Linked DNA regions of Caenorhabditis elegans. The protein of the gene in region 2 interacts with the protein of the main gene of each other region in a pairwise test. Each region holds a gene or a part of one and is shown on either strand. Other genes may lie near its edges. The genes, in order: zyx-1 and glh-3.

Evidence for each region.
Region 1: the proteins of glh-3 (region 2) and zyx-1 interact in a two-hybrid assay, tested with the Caenorhabditis elegans proteins (one study listed by BioGRID).

What each region holds. Positions count from the first base shown.
Region 1 is NC_003280.10:13,055,249-13,060,316, forward strand, and holds the start of zyx-1 (Zyxin), read left to right. Parts: upstream 1-1,903; coding exon 1,904-1,948; intron 1,949-3,550; exon of another isoform or gene 3,551-3,571; intron 3,572-3,948; coding exon 3,949-4,233; intron 4,234-4,308; coding exon 4,309-4,392; intron 4,393-4,438; coding exon 4,439-4,779; intron 4,780-4,808; exon of another isoform or gene 4,809-5,068. Other genes in the region: azyx-1 (Alternative N-terminal open reading frame of ZYX-1), read left to right, coding at 1,720-1,760, 1,847-1,948, 3,949-4,233, 4,309-4,381. UniProt on the Caenorhabditis elegans protein: Functions both as a mechanical stabilizer (via LIM domains) of focal adhesions, and as a sensor component for muscle cell damage (via N-terminus).
Region 2 is NC_003279.8:5,791,594-5,796,986, reverse strand, and holds glh-3 (ATP-dependent RNA helicase glh-3), read left to right. Parts: upstream 1-1,872; 5' UTR 1,873-1,945; coding exon 1,946-2,030; intron 2,031-2,077; coding exon 2,078-2,431; intron 2,432-2,542; coding exon 2,543-3,775; intron 3,776-3,820; coding exon 3,821-3,924; intron 3,925-3,970; coding exon 3,971-4,152; intron 4,153-4,201; coding exon 4,202-4,406; 3' UTR 4,407-4,666; downstream 4,667-5,393. Other genes in the region: mtk-1 (Protein kinase domain-containing protein), read left to right, coding at 1-109, 266-389, 437-1,065, 1,142-1,297, 1,340-1,423; cpb-3 (Cytoplasmic polyadenylation element-binding protein 3), read left to right, coding at 5,264-5,386. UniProt on the Caenorhabditis elegans protein: Probable ATP-binding RNA helicase.

The DNA.
Region 1 (5,068 bases), on a different chromosome or scaffold from region 2:
ATTACCCTGTTTGCTTGCATAGAATTCCGGTTATTCTAGGCAGAAAGAGGAAGAGTTTCAGGCAGTTAAAATAAGTCGAAAAATACATAGACTCCTCTTTTCAATGTTTGTACACCAACTGTTTTTTGTTTCAATTTTTGTTTCTCACGAATTCCAGCCAAAAGTTTTTTTTCTTAAAATATTTTTTTTCTGTAGAAAAAAAAAAATATTAGGGAATGATCATGATTGCGCCCACGAAACCGCCCATAAAATTCCTGTGAAAAGAGAAGAAGAGAGGGTTGGGCACAACTATACCATCCATAAAACCACAGACTTTTTTTCGCGTCGGTTTTTTTCTTCTTTCCGCTCTTCCAATGTTTTATCGTTGTTTGCATGGCGTTCTGTGCTTCAAAGATGACAGTTTTTTTTGGGGTTGGAAGACTTTTTTGAATACAAAAATTCTTTGAAGTTAAAAACTTCAAAGTTCTCAAAATTTTAATTTTTTAGAATGGTCTAGAATCACATAAATCGAAGTTAATATTGGCTTTAAAATGGGAAAGATCGGCCACAAAACAATTAATTATAAAAAGGATGAAAAGGGGTCTTTTCATTAACTGTAAAAGGCTATTTTAAGATCATCTCTAGCAATAAAGAAAATATATGTTGATGGCCCAGTTTTCCCGTTTTTTTCTAGGCCAAGCCACAAATGACGGACAGTTTTGGGTTAGAAAGATTAAACTTCAATTTTCGTATAAAAAAAGTGCTCCAGAATAAAATTAGGCAAATTTCGGATTTGAAAAAAAAAATTCAAACCGAATGTGATGTCCTAGAACCCGACAAGGCCCACTTGAAAATATGACGTCACAAAAATATTCGTGGCCGAAAAAATAAGAAAACTCGGCTACGCTACAAACATTTTTTTTCTCGAATTGTATGTAGACGACACCTTATAGATTCAATCTGGAAAACTTTTTGAAAAATTTAATTGATGGCCGAGTTATCTGTTTTCTAGGCCACATCACAAATTTGTGCTTGATCTAAATCTGTGCTTTCAAATAGCAATTTAAAAAAAAAATCTGAAATATAAAACGATTAGGTTGAGCCGAAAGTCATGGCCTAGAACCCGAGAAAAATATACGTGGCCGCGAAAATGAGAAAACTCGGCCGCTAACACACATAGGGTAATTTCCTCGAACTCTAAATGATCTATTTAAGATCAAATTGCTAAAATATAAATAATGAGTTTTAGATTTTCTAGGCCACGCTGTGAACTCTAGGTTTTTGTATAATCTCCAACCATAACTTAAATATTGCCGGTCCCTCTCCCCTATAAATTATCAGCCACCAATTTCCTGTCTGCCACGTGGATTTCACACGAAATTTTTGATATCATCTTCCAATAGCAGATGTTGTTGCTTATCTCTTTTCCTCTTTGTTCATCGCTTATCCCTCGTTTTCGCTTTCCTTTTTTTGTAATCTCCCCCCCCCCCCTCCCATATCCTCTCTATTTTTCCTGCCATCAGTCGAATTTTGTGAGCCAAAGTGTAAAATGGGCTCCTGCCGGGATGAAGCGAGAGAGTCGTAAGGATGTGAAGAGACGCCGACGCGGTTCGCCCGGGGTTCCTGTGGCATGCAGCTCCTCGGGGTCCGTCGGAGCCCCCAAGACTCTAAACATACTAAACACCACACCGAGGCGCGCTCTCCAGACATTCTCTATCCATCCAGGTCGCACATCCTAATATGAGTTACCTCTCACCACTTCCTCATTATCCTAGTCAAAGGTATCGTTTTTTTTTCATTTCTTCATGTTTTTGTTGTGTTAAATTGTTTGCTCTGTGTCCTGACCTCCAACATATGTGTCTTTCAGCTTGGGTCGTGCTCGCTCCTTCAGCACTATTCCAGACTCGGCATCCGCTACTGATCTATGGGACCCCCGCCTCCGCCTCCACCACCCCCTCTACTCCCATCCGTAAGTTGAACTGAAATTGCAAAAGAAAATTGGAAAATGTTCTGAAATTTTTTTAGGCCAAAAGTTTGAAAAAAAATCAATGGCGTGGGAGAGAGGTTTAAAAATTATGTATGTTATCCATTACGGTAGCTCGATAAAACCCCCAAAAGCTCAGGGATTGTCAGAATTTCTTATTTCGATTTGATCTTCAAAAAGTGCGGGAGTTGAGACGCAGACATCTCATCTGATTTCGCAGATCTTGCTGACGTCACAATTTTTCTGAAAAAATTCCCGAATTTTTTGTAGATCACAATTTTTCCGAACAAAAAATTCCCGCATTTTTTGTAGATCACAATTTTTCCGAACAAAAAATCCCGCATTTTTTGTAGATCACAATTTTTCCGAACAAAAAATTCCCGCATTTTTTGTAGATCACAATTTTTCCGAACAAAAAATTCCCGCATTTTTGTAGATCAAACTGTAATGAGACATCCTGACATCACGTGGAAATAGACATTTCAAAATTTAAAATCTTGGCTTTTTGGAGGCAGATGGGTTTAATTATCGTTAATTTATTTCTGAACTGCCGGCTCTTAGAGTCGTTCTGAATTCTATTTCACTTCCCACGCTCTAGACAATACCCTTTCTATTAATTCAAAGCACATTTTGCATATGAAGGTAAACGATTTGCATACGGTAATTTATGTGCTCCTTCTAGCACCCCTGGGCATTTAATTATTCTCATTAATCACTTGAAAAACCATAAATTATTGCTAACCATAATCGTAGTGGCAAATTTTTTTTATCCAGCGGAAATGAGGGTTTTTTCGAAAAATAAAGAAAAAAATGACAGAATACATCCCCAATATACCATACATAACAGTAAAAAAAATTATAAAATTTTTGTAAATTTTTTATGATTTTTTTAAAATTTTGCAAAAATAATAAAAAGGGCCGAATGAAATTTAAATTCCCGCGCAACTGAGTGACGTCATTTTCGACATACCGTATATCTTCTATTAATATGGCCTCCCTATTAGACTTGCACTCCCTATTAGTATTGCCCCTCGGAGACCTTCCGAAAATTAGTATTGCACTCCCTATTAGTCTTGCACTCTCTAATAGTCTTGCGTTAACTTTTTTGTATTGCAAACCCGTCTCGCTAATTTCAGGATTTCAACAACATTTTTGCCTATTTTGCAACAGTTTTCACATCATTTCTACGAGATTGAAGTTTTTGAAATTATATGAAAATCAAATTTTCAGAATTTTTACATATGATTCGAGCTTTTTCAGGAAAAAACTAGTAAGCTCAAAGTCAGAAAATGTTCTGAAAATTAGTATTGCACTCCCTAATAGTCTTGCACTCCCTATTAGTATTGCAAGCGGGAAGACCATCGAAAAATAGTATTGCAGCTATATTAATAGAAGAAATACGGTATTTGTGTTTTCCCGCTATATTAGTCTCCATTTTGGCCAATTTCAAAGTTTAATCCAATTTCAGAGTTTTGGCAATTTTCTTTGCAATTATATAGTTTTCTTTACGGAAAAATTTCTGAAAAATTGGAAAATTAAATATGTTTCAAATTATAAAATAAAGAAAAAAAATAAAGAAAAACCCAATTAGTTTGGGCGTGAATGAAAAATTAAAATTTTTTTTAAATTTTAAACAGTTATAATCGGTATATTAGGACAGTATTCTGTCATTTAAAGCAAAAAATCTACCGACCTTTAATTAAAAAAATTGTTTTCCTCAAATTTGGCAGATTTGGTTAGTTTGAAAAATTTTACAACTTTGAGAGCCTATAACTCAGTTGTCGTTTGCTCTACTCAAAAATTGTCAACTGTCAAAATGTTTTTTAGTTCTTTTTCTACATTTTTTAGTTTGACAATTATTGGTATCTTGAAAAAGAACCAAGATATAGCGTTTCAAAGTAATGTAGTCGGGTGAAACTAAAATATGAAATGTGATATGATCTTATATAACTATTTACTTCCAAAAGTAAGAAATTAACTTCTAGGGAGAGATACTACCATCTCGCAAATGGAAGACAGAGGATGCACCACGACGTAACAACCATCCCGCACCTGCGCCGCCCAAGCCGTCCCGTCCCACAGTGGACGCTTCGGCACTACAGCACGCCGCAGCACGTCTGCGTAAGACCGGCTACAACGAACCGGTTCGAGGTGACGTCGAGAATCTATCCGATGGACGATTGGACCGACCGCATCAACAATTGCCTGACGGAGATCGGACGTATCGCGCGAACCTCCAACAATTGGCTCAGCCGAAAACCAGAGCAGAGGTGAGAGGGTTTTTAGAGAGGTTGCAGCCGACAACTCCCGGGCTGATGCGTCATTAAAATTCTGATAATTTTCAGATTCCTTCTCCGCCCACTTATTCCAACCAACCTCGTCCGCTCGGCGACTTTCATCGAGACCCCAATGCGTTAAGCCAATTCCAGGTACTACATTCCATCGGTCCTCATAAAAAAATCAAAAACTTTCCAGCAATCCCGAGAGGCTCTTCTATCAAGTACTTCCCCAACTTCAAACTATAGCCCAATCAATAAATTCTCATCATCCACTCTAACTCAATACGCAAACAAGTCCCCGTCGCCTCCATCATTTGGTAATAGTAATAGTGAGGCAACTTATGTGTCTCCATATTCTTCTAAACACTCATATCCTACAAACTTCCGAAGCTATCACAAGGACGACGATTATTTTAATAACACGGCAACTACGGCAACCACCACAACATCAAGCAATAGCTTAAACGAGAACAATAATTCGAATAAATATGGCAATAAGGAGACGGTTCTTCAGTGGTCGGAGCCCTACGATCCAAGGTAATTATTTTTTAGTTGTTGGAAAATTAACACTTTATGGTTAGCGCCCGACATTTTATGTATAGCGGCCGACACCTCATAGGTACCAGCCGACACCTCACAGGTATTTGGCCAAGAGGCTGACATTTAACGGGTATCTTTTGACAACTTGTGAGATGCGCTCGACACCTTACAGTTAGCGGCCGACACCTCGTGAGTTGCGGCTAGCATTGCATGTACAGCGACCGAATGGTTCTTAGGCCAATATCTGTGTGTTGGCCGACTGGGTTTTAGTCTACCTCGATTGAGT
Region 2 (5,393 bases):
ATCGACAAGTTCAAAAACGTCATCATCATCGATGGAAAATCACAAAAGAACTAGAAAAGAGAATCAAATGTTGAAATTACAAGAACTTGAAGATAAGAGAAATAGAATTGTACGTTTTTCGTTTTTTTTGTGTTTTAGATACATTTTATTGATGCTTTTCCAATTGTGATGTTATATTTATATCATGTAGCTGGAGTTTTATTCTTGGAATGAAGTCCGCTAGTTTTGCTACTTGCATGGTTATTCTAAACTTTTATTTTTTCAGGATTACGACAACCTGCAAATCGGGAAAGTTATTACAGACGATAACAGAAGAAACTTTGTTCTTGCCACAGACAAAAAGATTACTACAAAAGCTCCATTTCAATGGGCACTTCTTGATCATATTGGTAGATTTAACTCTATTTTATTTGATGATCAAATGATCATTTTTCAGCATCTGGAAGCTTTGGTTCTGTACATCGTGCAATGGATATTGATTCTCATCGTGTCATTGCAGCAAAAGTCATGCGAATTCAACGCGAAAACCATAAAGCAATCGAATCGGAAATCAACATTTTCCGTCAATTAATTCATGAGAATCTTGTCAAATATTATGGTGTTCAAGTTGAAGACAGTGACGTCATCATATTCATGGAATATTGCTCACAGGGTACACTTGAACGAATTTGTCACGGAAAAATGGATTTGAAAATGGTTCGACAATATACGAATAGCTTGTTGCGGGCTGTACAGTATCTTCACTCTCATAAAATCATTCATCGTGATATAAAGCCAGCGAACATATTCCTCGATAAGTGTACCGTACTCAAATTAGGAGATTTCGGATGTTCTTCGCGACTTGTCGAGTCAAGTACAGTATACGGAGAGTTTCAAACAACTGCCGGAACTCCTCAATTCATGGCACCAGAAATTTATTCATATGGGGAAAAGGATGAAACAACTGGAAGCTATAGTGGTTACGGTAGAAGTGTTGACATTTGGGCACTTGGAGCTACCGTAGTCAATATGATGACTGGAAAAGTTCCATTCGAAGGACAAACTCGTCATCAAATAGCCTTCGCGGTATGTTTATTCTAGACACATGTAGATAGTTGAGTCTAAAGATAATAATTGTTGCCATCAATAAGTAAACTTTCAGCTTTGCTTCCGCAAGCAAAAACCAACTTATCCTGATATTGCCGACAAAAGACCAGATGTTAAACGATTCTTCGATAATTGCTTTGAATTTCTTCCAAATGATCGGCCTACAGCTGCGGAACTTCTTCAAACTACGTTTGCAAATGTTAATATAACGGTAATTATCAAGAATAAATAGAAAAATTAGTAAATTTGCAAGTTTCAGGACGAAAATCATATCCCGGACTATCAATCACAATCTTCAAAGGACAAATCGTCACCAAGCTCGTTTTTTCTAGTCTAGACGTTTTTGTATACTGTATTTTTTGTTAATAATAAAAATAATCTACCCGTAATCTCATCTTCGTGATAAAAATGTACCTCTACCTAACTGAAATTCACTTTGTATTTTTGTATTAAAGTTAATAAGAATAATTTAAATTGCCAATAAATACTCATTTTACAAATATTTCCAACGACAACAGGAGGTTTAGTTTGTTAGATTTGAATCGACATAAGACCAAAATTTCTGAATGTGAAAAGAGCCGGCTACTGTAAAATATGTTATGTGCAATTTTTCGTCAATCGTGCTGTTCTCTGTGCAACCCCGGAACAAATTTGAAATTTCATTCTTTTAAACAATTTTGCAAATCTTAAGTGTTTATTTTTATTTGGTGTTTAAAAACTAATTTATATGCTTATTTATCGTTTCTTGGAAACAAAACAACTTTACGCGCAAAATATTCTTTGCAGGTAAACGAAATCTTCCGATACTGGCTGGGGGATTAACTCTGGTTGTCAAAATAGAGTTAAACGGCACGGAATAATGGATAAAAGCCCAACAAAGACAAGTATCCGGACCAAATTCGCTAGACACCAGCCAATTTCTGATGTAGATACTACAGAACAATGTAGGTTTTCTGAATATCACTACCAATTCCCAACATTTATTTTTCAGCGAGTTCATGCATTAAAAAAGATGATCGAGGTCTCAGCAGTTTTGGAGTTCAATCATCAGTATTTTCTCGTCGTAGCTGTAGGATGTCTGAACTCGAAGCGAAACCAACAATAATTTCCGAAGATCAACGTATAGCCGTGCGCAGCGAGATTGGGGGCTCTTTTTCTGGCTTCGATGACAAAGTTGATAATGTTTTCCACTCAAATAATAATTTGCATGGATCACCATCTACAACGGAATTGGAATGTCCTGGGATAATGAATCCGAGATTTCTCGTGGGCAGATCTCTAAATTCTAGATCACGAGCAGTAACTCGTGGAAGCAAGAGAACCTCGAATGTCAAAGAAAATGAAGGTAAGTTTGGCAGGAATTTACTATCTGGTAAAAGTGTGGTCTTTGTATGAAGAATTATTTGAAATTAAGTACCGAATACAGATAATAGACAATTTCTCAAACTTTTTTCAGGGAGCATCCACCGTTCTGATGATCAAGTATCAACTGAAAACTGTTCGGCAAAAGATGAGGAACGTGACAGAGATTCCGGTGGTGTTTCAAGCTATGGAAACAAAAGAAGCGATGAATTCTGCGGTACCTCTCCAATCCTTGAAGCAAAAGGTTTTGGAATCAGCAATACATGTTTCAATTGCAAGAAGTATGGACATCGTGCAACAGAATGCTCCGCCCCACAACGTGAATGTGCTAATTGTGGTGATCCGAATCATCGTGCAAATGAGTGCGCAAGCTGGTCGAAAAACGGAGTTCAAGAGCCGACAAAGGTCACCTATGTGCCAGTCGTGGACAAGATGGAGGAGGTATTTAGCATGTTGAAGATTAACGCTGGAGATTTCTTTGACAAGTTCTTTGACGCTAGCGTTCAACTTGTGTCACGTGGACAGCCGGTCACCATTCAACCATGTAAAAGTTTTTCCGATTCCGATATTCCTCAAAGTATGAGAAGAAACGTGGAGAGAGCAGGTTATACCCGAACAACTCCGATTCAACAATATACACTTCCACTTGTTGCTGATGGCAAAGATATCCTTGCTTGTGCTCAGACTGGATCGGGCAAAACTGCAGCATTTCTTTTGCCGATTATGTCTCGTCTAATTTTGGAAAAGGATTTGAATTATGGAGCAGAAGGAGGTTGCTATCCACGATGCATTATTCTTACACCAACTCGAGAGCTTGCTGATCAAATTTACAACGAGGGCAGAAAGTTTTCCTATCAATCTGTTATGGAAATCAAACCAGTCTATGGCGGAATAAATGTAGGATACAATAAGAGCCAGATTATGAAAGGATGTACTATCATTGTTGGAACAATTGGACGTGTTAAACATTTTTGTGAAGATGGCGCTATAAAACTCGATAAGTGTCGATACCTGGTCCTAGATGAAGCAGATCGAATGATTGATTCAATGGGATTCGGACCAGAAATTGAGCAAATTATCAACTATAAGAATATGCCCAAAAATGATAAACGACAAACAATGATGTTCAGTGCCACATTTCCCAGCAGCGTCCAAGAAGCTGCTCGTAAATTGTTGCGTGAAGACTACACAATGATTACAATCGATAAAATTGGAGCCGCCAACAAATGTGTCATTCAAGAGTTCGAGTTGTGCGATAGAACATCAAAAGTGGATAAGCTTTTGAAGCTTCTCGGTATCGATATTGACACCTACACCACCGAGAAAAGTTTGTTTTACTTTCACTTTTCAATATCGTCATATATGTTTTTAGATTCTGATGTCTTTGTGAAGAAAACGATTGTATTCGTTGCTCAACAAAAAATGGCAGACACTCTGGCCAGTATCATGTCGGCAGCCCAAGTTCCAGCGATTACAGTTCGTTTGTATATTAGTAGTGTATTTCCATTCTTCTTTTTTATAGATTCACGGTGCTCGCGAGCAAAAAGAACGGTCGGCTGCTTTGAAATTGTTCCGAAGTGGAGCTAAGCCAGTGCTCATCGCCACGGCTGTTGTTGAGCGTGGTCTTGACATTAAAGGTGTAGATCATGTTATTAACTACGACATGCCAAATAACATTGATGATTATATCCATCGAATTGGCCGGTTGGTTATTTCCTGAAATGTTTTATTTTTTGTAATTACCGTTTTTCAGAACTGGACGAGTCGGAAACTCGGGAAGAGCAACTAGCTTCATATCATTGGCAGACGATGTTCAAATTCTGCCGCAGTTGGTGCGAACTCTAGCTGACGCCGAACAAGTTGTGCCAAGCTGGATGAAGGAAGCTGCAGGAGGGACCTCCAATCCTAATAAATTCGAAAAATCTATTGATACCGAGGAACCGGAGGAAGCTTGGTGAAGCAATGTATTCTAAATTTAATTTCTGCAAAATATCAATCTTGACGTATTATTTTTCTGATAATGTTCAGCCCCCTTTTATTCCCCAAAATATCTGATCGTCTTGGCATTTCAACTTTAAATTTCCCGAATTTTTAAAATATATTTTTTGTTGTTAGGTTTATATGTTCATTTTTGTTTTCAATAGTTGGAATGTTTATAAATTCAGATCAGTATTCAATCAATGTCTCGTAAATCTGATAAATTTTTGTTTTAATTAAAGCTTTCAAAATCTTTTCAGATGGACTCACTATCAGTTTTTTTTAACTTCTCAGTTGTCTTGGCACGATGCCCACTCGATAATAACTGGTCATCTGTTTATTCGTGACTCATAAATTTGATAATAGTGAACGCTGAGAACGTGTTTTTTAATGAATTTTAATATTTAAATTCAATCAATTCAAATAATTAAATCTCATTCATCTTATAATATTAAAATCTTATGTATATAAAAATTAAATTAAGTCAATTTGAATTTTACGAAAGAATTACTGTAGCACATGTTCTGTGTAACATCGCGTCGTTCATCATGTTTTGTGTGCATACACTAAGCAAATTCAAATTTCAAAATGCTTTAATTTCGAAAATCCCAAAATTTTAAAATCAGTTTTTAGAAATGTTTTGTCAGTTTTTTATTCTGTCCGTGTTGTTTTAGGGAAAATTCTTTCTTCCAATTTGAGTTTGAAAATGTTTTCGTTAAAAACAAGTTTGAAGAACCTGTAGTTAATAACTTTCGCCTGAGCATAATTACTTTCGCTCTTGAACTCAAGGGAACATTTCTAATTTTCAGACTTGCTGCCGTTGATAAAAGCATTCACCATGAACCTGAATGACCGAGTGGAAGGCATCGGTAATGAAAGATCTATCGTTGCGAAATCAACCGAGAGAAAGAACAAAATTCCGCCCTCGTTAAAGCTCAGTCCTGTTGAGTCAGTTGGCGAGGTTTGTA